Linked DNA regions of Rattus norvegicus. The main gene of each other region encodes a partner of the protein of the gene in region 2 in a complex. Links are inferred from orthologs where the notes say so. Each region holds a gene or a part of one and is shown on either strand. Other genes may lie near its edges. The genes, in order: Slc7a8, Slc3a2, Slc7a11 and Slc7a10.

What was found.
Region 1: the proteins of Slc3a2 (region 2) and Slc7a8 are in contact, whole or in part, in a cryo-EM structure (PDB 7CMI), measured with the Homo sapiens proteins. The link is inferred for Rattus norvegicus from reciprocal best matches to the Homo sapiens genes SLC3A2 and SLC7A8. Residues at the interface, in NP_002385.3 of Homo sapiens: Thr162, Gly163, Leu164, Ser165, Lys166, Glu167, Leu170, Ala173, Gly174, Trp178, Arg182, Leu185, Phe189, Trp190, Trp193, Met196, Leu197, Gly199, Ala200, Ile203, Ile204, Ala207, Arg209, Cys210, Arg211, Leu213, Lys532, Arg534, Asp558, Gln559; in NP_036376.2 of Homo sapiens: Leu147, Leu150, Phe151, Pro152, Thr153, Cys154, Phe155, Pro157, Ser159, Gly160, Leu163, Leu164, Ala166, Ile167, Leu170, Leu171, Trp174, Gln294, Ser352, Met356, Val359, Glu481, Thr484, Leu485, Gln488, Lys489, Met490, Cys491, Val492, Val493.
Region 3: the proteins of Slc3a2 (region 2) and Slc7a11 are in contact, whole or in part, in a cryo-EM structure (PDB 7P9V), measured with the Homo sapiens proteins. The link is inferred for Rattus norvegicus from reciprocal best matches to the Homo sapiens genes SLC3A2 and SLC7A11. Residues at the interface, in NP_002385.3 of Homo sapiens: Glu167, Leu170, Ala173, Trp178, Thr181, Arg182, Phe189, Trp190, Trp193, Met196, Leu197, Gly199, Ala200, Ile203, Ile204, Ala207, Arg209, Cys210, Glu212, Leu213, Lys299, Arg534, Gln559; in NP_055146.1 of Homo sapiens: Leu151, Phe154, Phe155, Ile156, Gln157, Cys158, Glu159, Pro161, Leu163, Ala164, Leu167, Ile168, Ala170, Val171, Thr174, Val175, Val178, Gln217, Gln219, Val360, His373, Thr487, Gln489, Ile490, Ile491, Glu493, Val494, Val495.
Region 4: the proteins of Slc3a2 (region 2) and Slc7a10 are in contact, whole or in part, in a cryo-EM structure (PDB 8WNT), measured with the Homo sapiens proteins. The link is inferred for Rattus norvegicus from reciprocal best matches to the Homo sapiens genes SLC3A2 and SLC7A10. Residues at the interface, in NP_002385.3 of Homo sapiens: Phe161, Thr162, Gly163, Leu164, Lys166, Leu169, Leu170, Val172, Ala173, Trp178, Arg182, Leu186, Phe189, Trp190, Trp193, Met196, Leu197, Ala200, Ile203, Ile204, Ala207, Pro208, Arg209, Cys210, Arg211, Glu212, Leu213, Arg534; in NP_062823.1 of Homo sapiens: Leu147, Val150, Phe151, Asn153, Cys154, Pro157, Ala160, Val163, Leu164, Met166, Ala167, Met170, Leu171, Trp174, Ser352, Val359, Glu481, Thr484, His485, Trp486, Gln488, Glu489, Leu490, Phe492, Val493, Val494, Tyr495, Gln497.

Annotation. Positions count from the first base shown.
Region 1 is NC_086033.1:32,209,371-32,214,381, reverse strand, and holds the start of Slc7a8 (large neutral amino acids transporter small subunit 2), read left to right. Parts: upstream 1-1,666; 5' UTR 1,667-2,266; coding exon 2,267-2,420; intron 2,421-5,011. UniProt on the Homo sapiens protein: Associates with SLC3A2 to form a functional heterodimeric complex that translocates small and large neutral amino acids with broad specificity and a stoichiometry of 1:1.
Region 2 is NC_086019.1:215,036,613-215,041,788, reverse strand, and holds the start of Slc3a2 (amino acid transporter heavy chain SLC3A2), read left to right. Parts: upstream 1-2,118; 5' UTR 2,119-2,218; coding exon of another isoform or gene 2,219-2,223; coding exon 2,224-2,629; intron 2,630-3,078; coding exon 3,079-3,252; intron 3,253-4,080; coding exon 4,081-4,175; intron 4,176-5,176. UniProt on the Homo sapiens protein: Acts as a chaperone that facilitates biogenesis and trafficking of functional transporters heterodimers to the plasma membrane.
Region 3 is NC_086020.1:136,661,408-136,665,888, forward strand, and holds part of Slc7a11 (cystine/glutamate transporter), read right to left. Parts: intron 2,445-4,481; coding exon 2,318-2,444; intron 1-2,317. UniProt on the Homo sapiens protein: Heterodimer with SLC3A2, that functions as an antiporter by mediating the exchange of extracellular anionic L-cystine and intracellular L-glutamate across the cellular plasma membrane.
Region 4 is NC_086019.1:96,964,370-96,969,328, reverse strand, and holds the start of Slc7a10 (asc-type amino acid transporter 1), read right to left. Parts: upstream 3,208-4,959; 5' UTR 3,155-3,207; coding exon 2,986-3,154; intron 1-2,985. UniProt on the Homo sapiens protein: Associates with SLC3A2/4F2hc to form a functional heterodimeric complex that translocates small neutral L- and D-amino acids across the plasma membrane. Preferentially mediates exchange transport, but can also operate via facilitated diffusion.

The DNA.
Region 1 (5,011 bases), on a different chromosome or scaffold from region 2:
ATTGCTCCGCGTCACTCCTTTCTGGAGAGATCTCAAATCCATCGAACATTCATATCAACCTGCACCGTTCAAACGGAAACTACAAAATATCACTGAAAGAACTCACATGTGAGGAGCAGAGCCGTTTTACTCCCTTGATGTTGCGATCTGAGCAGAAGTCTTCACATTGGGTTGCTTAATAATGAATGAATCCATCAAGTTTCCCCTTGTGTTCCCTAAGCTTGGGAGGAGAAGCTCACACTTCTCCATGCTTCCCCGACTCATCCCTCACTTTCTCCCATGGAGTTTTGTGCTATATACTCCAACCTTGTCTGGTCATTGTTGAAAATGATTTACACGCTCCCCCCACTTTCTTCTTTTTGCTGAGGCCTTCAATCTGCTATATCTTAAACCAACAGAAGGAGAAGGGGTGAGATCTCAACCTTTGAAACCTCTCCATACTTGCTGAGTAGGGTGATCAAGGGGCAGACGGGGAAGGGAGACTGTTGGCTGGACTTTACCCTCTCTGGGAGAGCTGTTCCAGATAGCTTAGCCAACCCCACTTCCAAAGGGGTCCAACGTATTATTTTCTTGAAAGATCTAACGGGTTTAGAGCATTTTCCAAAAAAAGCGAAACCGATTTTGTGTAGTTAGTGGTCAGGAATTGCGTTTGTCTCATTTAGACAGAATCTCACTTTGTAGCCCAGGCTAGCCTTAAACTCAGAGAGCTCTGCCTGCCTCTGCATCCCAAGTGCTCAGATGAAAGATGTGTGCCACTAGGCCCTTTGGAATTTTATTTTTTAGACTTATTTTTAAATCAAATCACTTTGTACAGTATGTGAAAAAAAAACCTAGTTTTTCAGCATGGTATATAATATTGTTTCATGGTTTGTTTTTTTTTTTTTCCCCAAAGTACTTTACAGTTAGAAGTAGACACGGTTCATGAGGTGAAGCAACAGTCTTGAATCAAGTTCTTCAGGGAAGTGGGCGTGCAATGCCAATAAACTTAACAGTTACCATTCTTAGCATCAACAAATCTGCTTCCTGATCAGTGAAGGGCTCACAGTCCCGAAGTTCAAAGATTTTGTGATAAAATATTAGGGGTCATGGGTCAGGTCAGAATCCTCCTTACTCTGCTTCAGACGAATGTTGCAACTACCCCATATTCTTAATAATTTTATTTAACTTTCTTGTCAGTCCCTAAGAGAAACTCTTCAGCCTAACTAAAAAGTCCTTCCACATTGTCCCCTACCAAAACCTTCTCCTACTTCAGGAAACAGCTTGATGACGATATCCCGGCAGCTTTCTCGACCTTGTCCTCAAATGATCCACACCTAAACATTTTAGTACACTGGTCAGTGTATTTCTGAAGGCATCAAAAGCCTGCAGAACTGTGTGCCCTTACAGAGCACACAAATGCTGTGCGACCTGAGATGCAGCCTTGGCTTGTGTCTTCCCCCTGCGGCCGACCCTTCCCTTGTTTCCACTAAGAAAACAAGAAAGAAAGAAAGAAATGTTTTAAGGCCTTTTCTCCGTGATCTTTGGGGGTAGAGGGTACTAATAATTAAATAGAAGGGGAGGGAGGAGATGCGGCTGAGGATGGCGAGGAACGGAGGAGGTGGGGGCGGAGCCTCGGTCCGCAAATAAACGCCGCAGCCGAAAGGGAAGCACATTCGCGAGCGCAGCAGCCACCCTGCCCTCACAGATGGAACGATCTGCGGCGTGAGCACGGAGCTCGGAGCGGACAAGGGCGAGAAGGGGCGACCGCAGCAGGTGGAAACCTGATCGCGAGCCGGCGAGCGAGAAGAAAGTACCTGAGCACCGCTCCTCCTCCGCCCTCTCGGCTAACGAGAACTACTTTTACCCTCGTGGTAAAAGAGACTTAAGGGAAGGTGGAGGCGATCTGTTTCGTTAGGAGGGCTGCAGGGAAATTCTGACCAGAGCAAGCCGCCGCCCGGTACACCGAGCAGAGCCATCCTGGGCTTCTGAAGATAAACGCTTTCCGGAGAATTCCAGCTGGAGTCGCTGGTACAGTTCTATTTTTGTATTTAGATATATATGTTCTTTGCCTTCCATTTAAAAAGCACGGCCCTTGTTTGTTAGCAGTGACACGTGTGACTCTCGTTTGCTGTCACTTTTAGAGCCTAGGAGCGCTCGCTCTCCGTTTCTGAAAAGGGCGTTCTAATTGGAAACTTGTTTTTCCGCGTATCTCTGCATTTATACGCACGAGCGTTTAGAAAGAGACTGCTCTTTTTAGCTTTTGGTGGTCGGAACCCTACGGAGAAAGATGGAAAAGGGAACCCGACAGCGAAACAACACCGCGAAGAACCACCCGGACCGCGGATCTGACACCAGCCCTGAGGCCGAGGCTAGCTCGGGAGGGGGCGGAGTAGCCCTGAAGAAAGAGATCGGATTGGTCAGCGCCTGTGGTATCATTGTAGGTGAGTCCAGGTCCTTTGCGGGGCCCCCGGCACCACACCACCCCCTCCCCAGGGGTCCTCCGCGGGACTTTAACCCCACCAAAGCCCCTAAAGCAGCTTTGCTTTGTCTCTGACTTGTGTTGTCCACCTGCACCGGCCAAGTCAGAGCTCTGGAAGTGATGTCTGTCAGACATCGCTTCAACCAAGCCAGGCTGAGCCGCTCTCTCCTTAGAATAGAACAAACAGGAGTCAGGAACCATGCTGGCTCTGCGTACCAAGTATTCCCTGGGAATTTATTAGAAGTGTAACAAATTCTTTCCGGGTTGTCACTATGCAGTTCTGATCCGGGAGATCCTAATTCAGGCTGACACATGGATTTTTAACTAGCTTCTATGCAGCCACCCTCTGCAGGCTGCGAACCTGCTTTTGAAGCATATTTTGTTGCCTTATGTTATGAAGCATTGTGGTAATACCACAAAGAGCAAAACAGCAGTAGTAAAAACACTTCGTAATGATGGTTCTTTATAGGCTGGTCCATCCTATGTAGCATTTGTGAAATAGATGTGACAGCCAGGCTGTTCTTACTGTCTGGGATGAGGAAAATATGGAAGGGAGAACCAGCTGACTCGACTATGTTCTCTACACGGAGTTTTCAGTTTCTCTGGTTGCCTGTGTGTGGGGGTGTGTTTTAACACACACAGAAGACCCTGTGAGGTTTGTAGAGGGAACCCGGAGTGAGTGGATTGTGGAGTACAGGAGGAATTCATGGGTGAAATGTGTGCTCTGTCCTGGAAGCTCTCTAGGAGAGGAGCTGGGTGATCCAGAGAGTGCCAGTATAGGTCTTGCTTCCCAAGAGCACTTGTGTAGGGCTCAGGCTTCCAGAGACAACTCTCTCGTCTACAGAGGACACTCTTGTCTTTGTAAAGAAGCCCTGCAGGTGGGCGCTGGGCAGTGGCTCCTCACTACCTTCCCTCAAAAAGGGGGCTTTGGTCTGCTGCCTTCCGCTGAGGGCTTCTTCCCAGGGAAAGCACCACAAGACTCTCAGATGAGTCCCTATGTGCTCTCTCTCCTCTGGAGTTCCTTAGCGAAGGTGTACTGTTTCTTGCTGCCCATAAACTAGTTTCTGTCGATGTAACAGTGTTCTGTGAACAGCTCAGGGACGTTTGGCACCAGAGCCAGAGTGACACTGGAGAACATCCTTGAAGTCAAATAAAATCAGCACAGTGCTCAGATAATCCTCTCCACCTCTGCACCCTGACTTCAGTGGCCATGTTCTTTCCAATCCCCTTCCAGAATGGAAGGTTATCTATATACTCCAAATATTTACAGTTATAAAGAGACAATGTTGTGAGGGAACAAATCCTCAAAACAGGAGTCACGATCTGAAGCTCACATTATCTGGTCTTACTATATTTTTTAATTCAACGCAACCTGTAGAACACATGCCAATTTAAGATCTATAAATAGGCCAGAGTCTGTTATGTCTTTCATTAATTTGATGGATAGGCTTTGTATCCCCCACCCCACCTTGGGGAAGTATCTGACTCATACACATATATGCATACATACACACACATACTCACACACATGCTCTACATACATACATACACACTCACACCAAAAAAAATACACATATACACACACATAACACAAATACCTATATATACACAGACGCACATACTCATACATACACACACATACTCACACACATGCTCTACATACATACATACACACTCACACGTATATACTCATACATTCATACACATACACACTAACATACACACATACTGATACACACTCATACACACATACATACATACACCCTCACACATAACACACATACTTATATATACACATACACACATACTCACACATACACACTCAAACATACACACACACTCACACACACATACTCATACATACATATATACCTACATACACACTCACACATTTATACTCATACATGCATGCACATACACACTAACATACACACACTCAAACCTTTTTTTCCCATGGATGCCCACGCAGCCCACAATATATGTAGATTTTCATGGATAGAAGATATTCTCCTGTTTGTTTTTTTTTTTGTTTGTTTGTTTGTGTTTTTTTTTTTTCGGAGCTGGGGACTGAACGCAGGGTCTTGCGCTTGCTAGGCAAGCACTCTACCACTGAGCTAAATCCCCAACCCCGATATTCTCCTATATACTAAGGCTTTGGTTCTTTCAAAATATATTTATTTCAAGTCTATGAAGACATGGGGATGATCAGGTATAATAAGTACAGGTCCAGGGTCGATGCCACTACTGATCTGTCCACAGCCTCATGGGTGACGAGAGAGAGAAAGAACTCCTCGTGGTGACATCACAGTTCTGGCTGGATACTCTGGGTGATTTTAGGGAAATCAGGATATTTTTCCAGAGTGTTAGAATCATGTTACATTCACTTCAGCTGAGCTGAGAAAGACCTTCCTTCTTAAGAATGACATGGAGAGGGCTGGGGATTTAGCTCAGTGGTAGAGCGCTTACCTAGGAAGTGCAAGGCCCTGGGTTCGGTCCCCAGCTCCGAAAAAAAGAACCAAAAAAAAAAAAAAAGAATGACATGGAGAAAATCTA
Region 2 (5,176 bases):
TTGAACTTTTCATGCCTCCACTTCCTGAGTGCTGGGATTTTAGGCCTGTGCCTCCTCTGTGCCTGGTTTATGTGGTACTAGGGATAGAACTCAGGGCTTTCAAATGCTAAGCAAACAGTCTAGTGACTGTGCTACATCCCACTTCTTCAATGCCTGTGGTGCTGCAGATTGAACCCTGGGCCTTGCACACGGTAGGCAAGTACCTATCCTCTGAACTCCAGCCCTTTAAGTTTATATTAGTCAGCTGGGTTAGTTGTTGTTTTATATCCCAGATAAGGGAAAGCAGTCTCCTCTAGAGCACTGAGGAATGCTGTCACTTGAGTTAGAGCTTGAATGAGGAAGAGTAACTTAGCAGGAAGAGCCAAACAGCAGAACAGCAGCACACGAGGCATTAAGACTGGAAACACACTATGCTGTGCAATTGGCGGGTGCTGGGAAGCTGCTGTGTCCGGACAGCAGTGGTCAGGAAGGTGGGCTTGGTGGAGACTGCCGGGAGATCTCTAAGATGCTTAGGGATAGATCTCTGCCACTTACATGTGGGGGCTGGGAGATACCATGCTACCTTAAATTTTATTTATTTTGTGGAGGGCAGTGAGCATGTGTGGAGGTCAGAAGAGAGCTTTTGGGAGTCAGTTCTCTTCATTGAGGAGTGAACTCAGGCTGTCAGTCTTGGTGGGTAAGCAACTTTACCAGATGAACATTTTGTTGGTTTGATCCAATAAGCCATCTGGTTTCTAGGGTGCGTTTCATTGAACCCTCTCAAAGACTGCTTCTGCTTCACAGTCCACAAACCTTGAGCTTTCTGGCTGGGTAGAAAGTCCATCTTGGACTTTTCTTATCTGGCATGCCCAGGGCAAGGTAGGACTCTTATCAACTGTGAACACTGGCATGACCCTTAACCTCTACTGACTTTGCTCTTCCTAGGAGCTGGCATGTACCCTTTTCTCTAGTGAGGCTAGGGAGGATCTTTGGGAATTCCAAAGGACAGTGGCAGGTGATGAGACTTTTCATATCCCTTCCTCTCTACTGTTCAGACCTTGGCGTCTGCTTTCTTCCAAATACATAGCAACCTTGGCTGCTGGCCTAGGTGGGGAGAGGGAGAAAGGACCCGTTGTTTTCTTCTGCTTCTCTCTGAAAATAACCAAATTGGCTGTGGTAAGGAACACGAAGTTCCTGAGATTGTTGGCATCACCAAGAGTTGCTGTCCACTGGTCCCTGCTGCGAGCCCAGTCTGCCCCATTTACCCTCCTGGCCAAGGGCCTCTGTGGGTGGGAATTGGAGAATCTTTCAAAGTGTGAGGGATCTAAGCTGCCTCCAGGGCCTAGCATAGTCAACTGATGTAGCCCGGCACACCAGAGGGTTTGAGAGTTACTGCAAGGTGGCTAAGAGTCACAACAGCTTGTATATTAAAAGGGTAGATGCCTCATTACCTTTGGAATGTTTATTACAGCCCCATTAGTCTCTTCTGGATGCCTGACTCCCAGTAATCCAACATTCTCACTAGTAACTAGGGTAGGATGAGAAGGGTAGTGTCCACTTCAACTCTGCAGTTGAATTTTAAAATCAAGAAGAAAGGATTAGAGTTGATTCTATGCAATTTATGAAGGAAAGGATTAAAGTGGGTGCCCAGTAAATAGTTGCTGCCTGAGGAATTAAACTCAAGGAGTCTTAAAGGTGAGTTCGGGTAAGCCTCAAGGGGAGTCCTGGAGCTCAGCTAAGTCCAGAGTCTGAGGAGGTGTGGGTAAAGCAGAAGTGGGAATGTAGTGCCAAGATCTGTGTGAAGTTGGGGAGATCAGATGTTAGCCTGAGCCCGGCCTGGGGCGAAGGGATGATGACGCAGATGGAGGCTGGTGTCATCTTGCAGAGAGAATAGAGGCTTCCTCCGGGAAAGGGCCCGGAGGAGGGCTTTGGGACCTGGTCAGGACACACTCACGTTTGTTATTCTAAGGGTTACTGGCTACAAGGTCAGCTTCCCAGACTCTGGCTGCATTAAGCGTTAGGGATAGACTGGCTCACGTAGCGAGGCTGGAGGTGTGAAAGACTTCTCTGCATCTCTTTAAGAGGCGGATCGGGGCGGAGTCATGGGTCACTTCCCCGCCGCCACGCCCGCCTGGCGGCAGAAGCAGTTAGGGAAGCTAAGCTAACTAGCCTCACGGGACACCTCTCCAAACTAGGCGACCCACTGACTACAGGCCGTGTCCTGTCACCGTTTCTGCAGGTACCATGAGCCAGGACACCGAAGTGGACATGAAAGATGTGGAGCTGAACGAGCTGGAACCGGAGAAGCAGCCTATGAATGCAGCGGACGGGGCGGCAGCCGGGGAGAAGAACGGTCTGGTGAAGATTAAGGTGGCCGAAGACGAGGCGGAAGCCGGGGTCAAGTTCACAGGCTTATCCAAGGAGGAGCTATTGAAGGTAGCTGGCAGCCCGGGCTGGGTGCGCACCCGCTGGGCGCTGCTGCTGCTCTTCTGGCTCGGTTGGCTGGGTATGCTGGCGGGCGCCGTGGTTATCATCGTTCGGGCGCCACGCTGCCGTGAGCTGCCGGTACAGAGATGGTGGCACAAGGGCGCCCTCTACCGCATCGGCGACCTTCAGGCCTTCGTAGGCCCGGAAGCGAGAGGCATAGCTGGTGAGTGTGGGGTGCGCGCCCTCACCCTTCGCCCCCATGTACCCCTTGTTTAAGCGGGCATTCTGCTGCTCTCCTCCTCACCATCACTAGGACTCTGATGGTTCTTCACCGAACCCTATTTTCTGGGACGACTCCCTGGCAAACAATCCTCTCCACTCTTTCTTAAAATTAAAAAAAAAAAAATGAAAAAGAAAAAAAAACAAGCCCTGCTAACCCGACCCCTACTTCTTCCTAAGGGTGCCTGACTCAGCACATCCCCTTTCTCCTCCCCCAACCACGCGGCCCCTGAGCCAGTTCAAACCAGTTTCTGGAGTAATGTGTGAGGTGCCTTGCGTCAGCTACTTGGTCTCGTGATCCAGCCCCCTTCAGAGGGAGTTGGCGAAAGTGGTGGAGAGAATGTGGAGGCTTTTCATGCCCTACTTGTTAACCCAACTCTCTCCTCATCATAGGTCTGAAGAACCATCTGGAGTACTTGAGCACCCTGAAGGTGAAGGGCCTAGTTTTGGGCCCAATTCACAAGAACCAGAAGGATGAAGTCAATGAAACCGACTTGAAACAGATTGATCCCGATTTAGGCTCCCAGGAAGATTTTAAAGACCTTCTACAAAGTGCCAAGAAAAAGAGTAGGTCTCAAGGAAGCAGAAAGGGCTTGGCATTCTGGCCAAGAAACAGGATAGGGCTTTTGTCTGCTTTTCTCCTAACTGGCTTTGTTTTTTTAGGGCAGGCACAGGGGAGATATGCTATGATTCACACTAAACAGTGTGGTTCATTTGTGAGAGTAATTCTTATTTATTTTGGTTTTGAGGCAGGGTCTTACCTTGTAACTGATTGGTTGGCCTGTACCTTACTTACTACCATGACCAGGTTGGATGAGAGTTTACAGGGCTCCACTGGTCCCAAGTGCTAGGCTTAAGTGTGTCACCATGGCTTGATCAAATAAGTGGCTTTTAAATTTCTAAAGTAGTTCCTATATGTGTAAGAGATTCAAATACTGCTTTAACCCAATATAGAGGGCTGAAAGTGTAGCTCAGTTTGTAAGAGTGCTTGCCTAGTGCCCGTGAAGTCCTGAGTTTGAGTCCTCAGTACAGCATAAACAGATGTGGGAGCATGTGCCTATAGTCCTACACTTGGGAAGTAGATGTAGGAGGCTGTTTATCCTCAGGCAGCCAGCCCACATACACAAAACCCTGACTTAAAGGGGGGAAAAACAAGAAAGAAACCAAAACCTCACTATGGAAACATGTTGAAAGACCATACCTTGTTGGGGAGATAACCCCTGGCCCAATAGCACAAAGTTATTTGCTCTACTATAAAAACCTCCGGAGGGGTTTTGTGGGTTTCATTCAGATTTTGTACAAACTATACATAGGTACACTTAGTAACTGTGTGTTGAAGTTCCTTGTTTCCTCTTCTTCCCCTAAAGAATTTCTCTCACCTGGTTATTTTCCTAGGCATTCACATCATTTTGGACCTCACTCCCAACTATAAGGGCCAGAATGCATGGTTCCTCCCTCCTCAGGCTGACATTGTAGCCACCAAAATGAAGGTGAGGTTTTATGATTGGTGGCATATAGATGCTGGGGATTTATTGTGTGGATTTATTCATAGCAAGCCGCGTGCACTCAGCGTGGTTCTCTTCTCATAGTCTCTTCCCATAGCCAGAGGGATATTGTTTCTTTTCTGACTGTTCTGTTCTTTGTGTTTCCGTTACTCTGGAAGCAAGGCTGTGCCAGGAAGGGAATTTCTCAGATGTCAGTTTGGAAGTTTAATTTTTCTTTTTGTGATAGGAAGTCTTTTCTTTCTCTGTGGGAATCCTGACCTGACTGGTTTCCCAGTTTTTGTTTGATGTGTTTGGAACGGAGCCCAGTCTGAAATTATAAGTACTAGAGTCTTATTATGTATCTGGGCTTTTTATCTTGCCCCATATTTTATTATTTTTTTAAAGAGTTAACTCCACTATGAATGCTTTGTAAGGTCTGATTTTATGTGTGTGAGTGTTTGCCTGCATATGTGTTTGTGCATCATGTGCATGCCTGGTACCCCAGGAAGCCAGAGAGGGTGTTGGGTCCCTTGGAGCTGAAGTTACAGACAGTTGTGAGCTGCTATGTAGGTGCTGGGAACTGAACCTGGGTCCTATGTAAAAGTTGCAAGTTTTTAACTCTGCAAAAGCTCTTAACCACTAAGCTCTCTCTCTCGCCCCTGTTCCAAGTATTTTATAGCTATTTCCAAATTTGTTTTGTAAACCCACAAAATACCTGTCATTGCCAGTCTGTTTGTGAAGAAACTGAGATGCAGTCACTTCATGAAGTCTCAAGGAGTCTTCTCTGCTCTTCCTTTCTCTTGAGGTAGTGGCTTAAACTTCATAGCCACCATAATAGGGTAAACCTGATGTCATCCTAGCCTCTGGTACCTACGTTTTAGGACACTGGCAGGTCCAGGATGGACATAACAAAGTAGAGGCAGATGCTGACCCTTTTGGATTCTTAAGTATGTGGGTGAGACGCTCTTGCTAGTTGCTGGGAGATTTGTGTTCTAGAAGTAGTAAGT
Region 3 (4,481 bases), on a different chromosome or scaffold from region 2:
TTCCCAGGAACAAGAACTGAATCACTTCTGCCCAGAGCCATTCCATATAGCTACATTTTGTACTTAGTATCTGGTTTTAGTCTTGGTCCAGGGAAGTGACTCCAACCTTCCCCTTGTCCAAGCTTCCTTTTACACAGCACCAAACCTGTCCCCTACACACTGTTTACCACAGTAGGGTTTTTATTCTAGTTAAGGTGATCCCCAGATTGAAACCCCATCCCGCTTGACTTTGAAATCTGTGGAAAAAAAACTGTGTTCCTCCCAATTGGAATTTTACCCCAGTGCAAGGATAAGCCCAGCATCTGTTACAGTAGAAACTCAATAGTGGTCAAATATCATGTGACTACATGACCTCAACTTCAAAGTCCCCATCTTGTTCTATTGGGTGACTTTGCTTGGATTATTTCTGACAATACCAACTTAATTTGAAAGTATAATTTTAATGGGGAGCATTTAGATATCATGGTTACTATCATGAAAAGAAATGGATTTATGTCCTAGGGTGTCATGTCCTTCATGGTATTTGCTACTTTGCTTGTTTGAAAGACTATCCTAGGGAACATAGATGTATTAAAAAGCTTCGAAGATCTACTTAGGTAACTTGGCTGTGCACATGCACGCACTCATGCTTACACACACACACACACACACACACACACACACACACACAGCTAGAACAGTTCTTTCAAAATTAAGGTGCATCTGGTTATCAGCAGTTAAGAAGCATGAATTGTGGCTCACTCCAATTTAGATCTCTTTATCTTGCTGTCTGCCATTCATCGGCAATTTGTGGAAACGATAAATTAACGAATGGGTTTCTTATCTGTCCATTGCAAATGGAGTGATCATGCTGTCATAGCAACACTGAATAATTACATACAGTTACGTCACAACTGCATGGATGCAGATGCAGTGAAGTTGAAGGACATCAGGCTGGGAAGCTCAACAGCTGACAGGGCAGCACTCCACTGACTTACTGTTCTTATTTCAATGCTGTGCCTGTTACATTCAAAACAACATCATCTTGGGTTTCCAGACACTTGTATAAGAAAGGATTACTATCTAGGATACACATGGCACTGACATAAATAGTTTGAAAGTCATAAAAGGTGTAAGACCTATTCTTACATCTTACATCCTTGAAATGCTTATAATTATAATAGGAAAATAGTAATGGGTCGCTTAAGGTCTTAAGACATTAAGAGATGAAAGAAATACTACAAACTAGGGATAAACCAGAAATTTATATATATATATATATATATATATATATATATATATTATATATGTGTGTGTATGTATATGTCATATATACATACAAAAATTAGCTTTGAAGAGTACATATGATTACGATGACAGAGAGAAGTACATCTCAGATAGAGAAATCTTAGGAAAGCAAAAAGAAAAAAATGTGCTTTTTATCATCATTTAACACTAGCAATTACTAAGCAACAAAGAACTGTTGTTCCCAATGAAGTGTGCACTACTCTGAAGTCTGCTATTAACACCATTACAATTGTTCCCGTTAGCAGACACTTAGAGCTCTTCCTTTGTCACTTCTGTTAGTGGCAGAATGAAAACTTAGCTGGGATTTTAGTACTCTGCGCCCTTTGTTTACAGGAGAGCAAGGTTCCCTAATGGTTTCTAATGAACTCTTTAATCACAAAGTGTAAGTCATATCCCTTAAAGCACAAAACACCTGTGACACGAGCTGCACATGCGACAACACAGGCTCCTCACAATATTGAGGGAAATTTGCTATTCAGAGTGACTTGGCGCTATTCTGTGCCAAGAGAATCAGGAAGGGGGACAGAGCCTTACGGCAGTACAATCAAACAACTTCTGCCACTGCACATCGCTGGTTTGTTTAATGTGAGGAAATGAATCACTCATGCTGTGTTAACTTGATTTTTCTTACTGTTTGTAAAGCATAAGACTTGATAATACACTAAGTTGTTTGGCACAGATAGTTCTTAGTCACAAAAGTAAAGTTAAATGTCCTGATGACATAATCAACAGTAAAAAGAAAAAAACCACTAACCCCTAGCATATTAAATCGTGTCTGGTCAATCCAACGTGTAGTTTATCAAAGTGAATTTTGAAGATTCCCCCCATCTCAGATGAATGCCTTTTCTGGAAAAAAACATATTTCTATACAATTTGGAGCTTAAAGAAAGCTTTTTTATGCCTTAGGGTCTGTATTTTTCAAACAAAGTCACGTGACACACATTTGTAATTAGTTAAAGCAGTCAAGATGATCCGGAAAAGTGATGAAACGAATAGGTTTGTTTTCCCTTAATTGTTTCCGTCTCCTTACCGTATTACCAGCAGTTCCACCCAGACTCGAACAAAAGCTAGCAAGGGACCAAAGACCTCCAGAATGTATGTGTAATGACCACCAGATTTCTTTATGCTCGTACCCAATTCAGCATAAGACAGGGCTCCTGTGAAAGGTGATAATAAAAAAGTACAAAGTTGACACAGCATCTAGTAGTCTTGTGATAGAACTGACAACGTCATTTAGGTTGTATGCACTCTGTGGCTACTTCCTTTGGTCAGAATGGCCTTCACAGGAATAGTCGTAATCTCCTAACTTAGACCCACCAAGGTCCTCTTTTAACTTCCTCACGCTTGAGACCTGCCTCATACTAATAGAAAGAAATGCCAAAGTTTGGAAGGATGGCTACTCAGTTAAGAGCACTGACTTCTCTTCCAGAAGTCCCAAACTCAATTCCCAGCATCTACGTGGGGACTTACAACTATCTGTATCTCCAGTTCGCGGGGATCCAAGGCCCTACTCTGGCTTCCTTGGGCACTAGGCATGCGCAGAAGCAAAACACCCATACACATAAAAGCCAAATGAAATGAACTGGAAAAAAATGTAAGGAAAGAAAATTTTGTTTGAAATGGTACCTACAAATATGACTCAGAATCTATGGTCAGAAACCAGAGGGCAGAGGGAAAAGAGAAGACAGGTGTCAATGATACTGACCTATTATTTGAATAACAACACCATCTCATACTAAGACAAGATCACTCTGACTGATCTCACTACGGTATTTAATAAATAATGTTTCTGTGGAAAATCAAAATATAGTTTATCTGTTCTTTGGGAAAGAAGAGGCTACTTGTTGTGTGAGACTTCAGTTAATTGATGCAATACGCTTTATCAACGAATCGAATCTTGACCCGGTTATTCTGTTCCTAGAAACAGTTATTCCGGATGTTTTCGAAATGTACACCCCGGCAGTTAAAAGGAGTGTTTTAAAAAAGAAATTCCACAATCTACAGTCATGTATGTGATGAAAATCAACTATAAACTAAGATGTGCTTAAAAATAACACTTGTATAAGATTGGGAAGGTTATATCTAAATTCCCCCAAACCCTAAATTTCACACCCTTTGAAGTGAAAACATGAATTTTCATGCTTATTCTGGATGTAAAGGTGGGAAAGTGAACCATAGATAGGACTGACTCTGATACAACAAACACACCACATGATATTATGTTACTTACCAACTGCTTCGTCGTTAATTAAAAAGGACATGAAAAATAAATCTTAATTTCATCCAAAAGTCAATCAATTAATCAACCAATCAGTCAAACACCAGTGTCTACATCCCTTAGTGTTCAAAGAAAACGGAGTTTCTGCCCAGGCACCTGAGGAGACTCCACATCTGGAAAGTATTGCGGGTCAGTGGTGTCTCCTACAGAATGCTCAAAACAAATATAACTTGGAAAACTAGAGAAAATGGAGTATGATTTTATCAGGGTCATCTGGAGAATTTGTTTTAAGAGTGAACAAATGAGAGAAGACACTAAGACCACACCTTAGACTCATCTTCTGAGACCGGACTCCATCCAAAAGAACAATCCAAGCAGTTGTACTGCTTTCCAATGCTCCAGGTACTAAAGTGATAAAGTTACAGATAGCTACTTAAATGCTTCATTAATTTAGACCTAAAGACAACTAGCAAACTTCCACTGGAAATAATGGTCACCATGTTGGTCGGTTGTCCAGAAAAGCAACCAATATAACCTTGTTATTGGAAAAACTCTTAAAGACCTTGGAATTTACTGTCAGGGAATCAATGCCCAGACCTCTGTATATTTTGCCCTAGGTTTAAATTGGGTTCTGGGGGAATGGAAATTTCTTTTATAGGTCTCAGGCTCCATAACTATGTGTCCAGATGAAAAGAAGTTCAAAGAGGGCTATAAAAGTCCATGTGTTGACCTCGGTGTTCAAAAAGTTATAAACCAAGCGCAGATGCTGCTCCTCTTCCAGAGGGGTAAGTTGCCCCCTTGAAAACATGGTGCATTCCAAACACTAGTCAGTGGGAACTGTCTGTCCCACACACAGCCCAGGCACCATCCTACACACTTGTCTGAACCTAGACAACATCATCCTACAAAGCTTCATTTTATAACTGATAAAATATCCCAAGTAATTTATTGAATAAACAGTTACTATCACCTACCA
Region 4 (4,959 bases), about 120 Mb from region 2:
GGTGTTTTGCAGTACCCTAAGGACACCTGACCTTGGGCAGGTTGTAGCCTTAGGGTCTCAGTTATTTTACTCGTCAATGGGTCTGAAGACTCCTCAGGACGTGTAGGAACAATGTCTGCAGAGGCCCATTTACTGCTGGCCATGGAGATGGTAGACAATGTGGCAGGGCTGGATGACAAGGGCCTCTAAAAAGATGGGGTTCATGCAGTCGCCCCCTCACGTCTCCGCATACGTTTGGGCCTGACTTTCGAACACCTGCTGGACACTCGAATCCCAAATAGAGAGTGGGAGCAGCAGAGCCACCATGATTCAGCCTGTCAGACTTGGGCATGTCCCTCCTTGCTTGTGGATTGTGTGAGGGGATAGCTGAGGTCTCCAAGACAGGATCAGAGACCCCTTGTGTGCCGCCATGAGAAAAGCTGACTTTCCTGGCTCTGTTCCTGCATAGTGGAGGGAGACCTCAGTCTATCCTAGCTCAGTCCTCAACTGTCGCCTTCCCTTTGCCAAGCCTTCATAGCACAAAGGCCACTGGAAACCTGAATCCAAACACTGAGCTCACCAGTTGCAAACAGTGTCATTTAACCCTCAACCTCAGTTTCTCCATCTGTGCAATGGGTAGAAAACCTGCCAACCCCACAGGGTGAGCATGAGGATCAAAGGAGGTAAGGTAAGTCCAAAAAGATATCTGATGTGCTGGTGAGGTGCGCCATTTGGGAAGGTTCTGGAAATACCCATTGAGTAATAATAGATCACTCACAGACAAGGATGTGAAGTTCTCCAGGTTTGTAATGCTAAAATATGACACTGGAGACTTCTGATTTTGACCAAGCTCCCGGGTTAGGGATGGAGAAGAAGAAGATGGTGAAGAACCCAGGACTGAGAGTTGTACCATGGAGAAGTGGCCCCAGAGCTTTGCATGGGTGGAAGCTGAGCCCTTGAGGCATCAGGAGGGGAAGCAGAACAGATCTGGCCTCCTCCCCAGTCACCTAGTTGAGGACAATCCTCCCCTGTCTGGCTTTGTCCCCTGCCTGGCCTGGTGTCTTGGCCGACGGAACTCTTGAGCTCCCTAAGTGTGGTCCCCGGGAGAGCACCCGGTACCCTGGTCTGGGATAATGCTTGAATTCTGTTCCTGAATCCACCATCCTTGATTGGCCCAGTTGATTTTCACCCTCCTTAGCCTTCATCTTCAGGAGGCCAAAGGGGAGCAGTGAAGCAAGAATAGGCTGAGATGTGAGGGGAGCTGGCGGCCCAGAGCCAGGATCCATGGCACCAGTTCCTCCAAAGCCTGAGCTAGAGAAGAAGCAAAATATTGGACCGGGTGCCCATTTCTCCCCTACACCAGCACTCCCATCCTCTTGTAGATGACTGGAACCCTGGCAGCCTCTGTCTTACTTGAGGAGAAAAGACAGTAACAGGGTAGGGTGCAGTGCATGGATGCTAGTCTGTCTCTCTGTCTCTGTATCTCTGTCTCTGTCTCTCTCCCCCTCTGTCTCTCTGTCTCTCTGTCTCTCTGTTTCTCTCTCTCTCTCTCTCTCTCTCTCTCTCTCCCTCCCTCCCGCCCCACCCCACCCCACCCCTCTGGCACTGTAGCCAGCCCACCACCAATGATAAATAGTTTTTACTTTTTTTGGGAGGAGGGGTACAGTACCATGAAAATTGTGTTGATTGGAGGCAAAGTTCTAACCACTACTCTGTCCTAGCTCCCAGGCTCAGTCCTTCCTGTTATCAGACACTCGGGGATGCTGGGGGGGACACCAGGACCAGCCCCTAAAAGATAGCCATTCTAGAAGGAAGAGGGCAGGTAGTGGAACTCTCTGGAGCTGGGTTCAGGGGTGACTCTGGGTAGGAGTGCAGGGGATACCCAAAAGACACTACATCTCTCTGGGTGGAGTTTCTCATGGAAAGGCCTAAAGCGGGAGAAAAGTGAAGACACACACACACACACACACACACACACACACACACACACACACATACACATATACACACACACCCTGCACTGAGTCCTCCAGCTTTTCTCTGTCTCCAGGGGTCAAAGAACAGAAAGACAGTGATTTGGCTGCAGCCTTGTCTGCATCCCTACTGTGTGCCACTTCCCACTGGCTGGGGAAGAGGGAAAGTCAAAACCCCAACTAGTGACCTTTTAGACACCCCAATTCCTGGACACAGTAAAGGTCCCTCCGAGAGCTTAGTCCAGTTCTCCTTCAGGAGTCAAGGGACAAAAAGAGGAGGGGTTCTGCCACCACCAACCTTGTCCCCGGGGGTTCTGCATATCCAGAAAGCACCACTGTAGGGAGAGTGAGAGGGCCAGTCCACAAGAGCACCCACTCAGATGCCACCAGACCACGACAGTGCCCACTCGGATCCCAGGGCTGAGTGGGTACTCTCCTGGAGGTTTGGTCTACTCATAGCTACACCATCATTGGCTACTTCCCTATCTCTTCTTGGCTTCTGTGGCCACCTCGGCCAGGAAGGACAACTCCTAGGCCTTTTCCCATTGGTAAACCAATGGCTCTACCTGACCATTTACCATTTACCTTCCTGCTTTCCAAGAACAGATGGCCTCACTTCCCCGGCACTTGAACCTGGCACACAGTAGGGATGCAGACAGGCTGCCCTGCAGCCCAGAACTCGCCACTCAAGGCAGGCCTAGCAATTACTTCCGTTTTCCTAGGTGGGAACCCGGGAATCAGGGAATCGCCTTGACAAAGTCCCACAGCCAGTGAAGGCCAGGGGAGGGTCGCAGCAAGGAGAACACTCGCCCCCCTTTTCCAGGAACAATTTTTCCGAGAGGCTGGGGAGGTGAGGGCAAGAGGTTTTGTGCCTGGTCTGCCAGGTCCTGTTCTGAGTAGGGTCAAGTGTATTCTCCAGTTGTGGCAGCAGGTGCTCGGAAGGTTCCTTTGCCCCTGTGGTCTTATGGTCTTAGTGAGGGAGGAACATAAAGGGGCTCCCCCAGTCCTTCCACCCTAGGTATGCCCCACTCACCGATGATGATGGTGCAGGCGCTCACCAGCCCGATCTCTTTCTTGAGTGCCACCCGCTCCGAGGCGCCCGGGCCAGGACCAGGGCCCGGGGAGGGCGAGGGCGCAGGGCTGGGGTTCCCGCGCCCGCCTGGCTGCTGTATATGGCCTGTCATGTCGCTGTCCCGCCTCATCCCAGCTCTCTGCGCTACCCCGTCTATCCGGCCCGCCGCCAGTCCTCCGTCGGTCGGTTCGTCTGTCGGTGCGCTCGCGGCCCTCGCAGCCCGGGACAGCGCCCACAGGCGGGCGCATGCGCTGGCACGGGGCCCGGGCCCCCGGGGGCCCCCGGGCGGCTGGATCCAGGGAGGGACGGAAGGAGGGCCGGCCGGCAGCCCCCTCCCCCACCTCCCTTAAAGGGAACTCCCCCTCCCCTCCTCAACCCTAGCCTGGGGATGGAGGAGGGGACTGGGATCAGACTTAGGAAGGACTTCCTAGTTGAGTGAACGAAGGGGCTACACCCAGACTTGGGTGAGGTGGGGGAGAAGAGCTCAAAGACCAGGCTGACCCTACCCTCAAGGAGTGTGACCAAGGCGTGCTGGGGTAGGCGGTGCTGCATGCCCCAGCATGTACTTTTTAAATCCCTCAAACCCCATTGGTGAAGGGTGGGCATTGCACAGGTTGAAAATCACGGCCCAGAGGCAATTAACCTGACAGTGGCAGGTTCTCCGTGCAAACTTTTTTGATAGCTCCCTGGCCTCTAGGTGGTCCTGACTGCGTAGGCATTTAGGATGAATGGAGACTGTCCCTGGAACAATTCTGGAGGTCAAAGGTTTGCGAAGAGTTGAAGATACAGAGAACCCAGTGGTCACTCAGAAGGTCCCGGGGCATCCCGGGAGTTTGGGGACAGTCCCCATCACCATCAAATCCTTAGCATCCCCCAGCATTCGGGTCCAGCTTTAGGTCCCCACCGCAGACTCCTCTACACAGGTCGGAGTCAGGGAACAGTGGACTGGGACTTTGGCCCAGGCCATACTGCATGGCTCAAGGTGACCAGACCACTGGAAGTGCCAAGGAGACGTGAAGAGGACAATAGTGGTAGCAAAGAGGTATCGGGCCCAGGATCCAGGGGAGCCTGCCTCCTCCCGGAAGCCATCGGGAGGTGCAGCCCAGATCGCGGGGCAGATTCAAGCGGGGCTCCGGGAGGGGGAAGGGCCGCGTCGAGGCCACCGGGGCGGCGGGCGGAGCGAGGCTGGCACGGTGTGGCAGACGGCGGAACAGCTTTTGTGTGCTGCTGGCGATCGCTGCGTCGCGCCGTCCCCTGCATGAGGATGAGGCCACTCGGGGCCACCAGTCCTTCCCCCGATCGCGGCCTCAGAGTTTGCTGGGGAAGGGTAGGGCGGACCCGAGATGGGACTAGCTCAGGAGTCCAAAAGCCTGGGTTGGGGGCGGAGCACGGAGGTGGGATCTTGGCCAGGGCCCAGCTCTACTTCGAAGTTGGGGCGGGGACTTGATAATAGAAAAGGGAGAACTCTGGGGGGACCAGGAGGGGGAAGCCACCCGGCAGAGCTTCATCCTTCGCACTACCGACGGAGCCCAACATTCTTGGCGACCTCTGCCTCCCGCCCCAGAGACGATAAGTTGAACGTGGCAGGGCTCTCTTAAAGGAACCTCTCGTGCAGTGCAGGGTCGGGGTAGGGTCGGGTAGGGTGGGGGTAGGCTGGAGAAGAGCAGTCCTGACACTCATGATTGTTGCAGGTAGTAAGGACCTGGGAGGCTTGACTTTCTGGTTTGACTGGCTACTCCATTGTCTTTGCAGTGCCAAGGTCTGCTGGGTGAAGGTCCGGCCAGAAGGATTTCCCCTGAGGCTGGTTGTCAAGGGGCAGAGAGTGGCATCAGAGCCACAGGCCAGAGCCAGTAGTGTTTCAGAGATGAGCCTCTCCTGGACTTGGAATGTGGAGTTTGTTTTGCGAGGAAGGGGTGAGTCTGGGGCTCTGCGCAG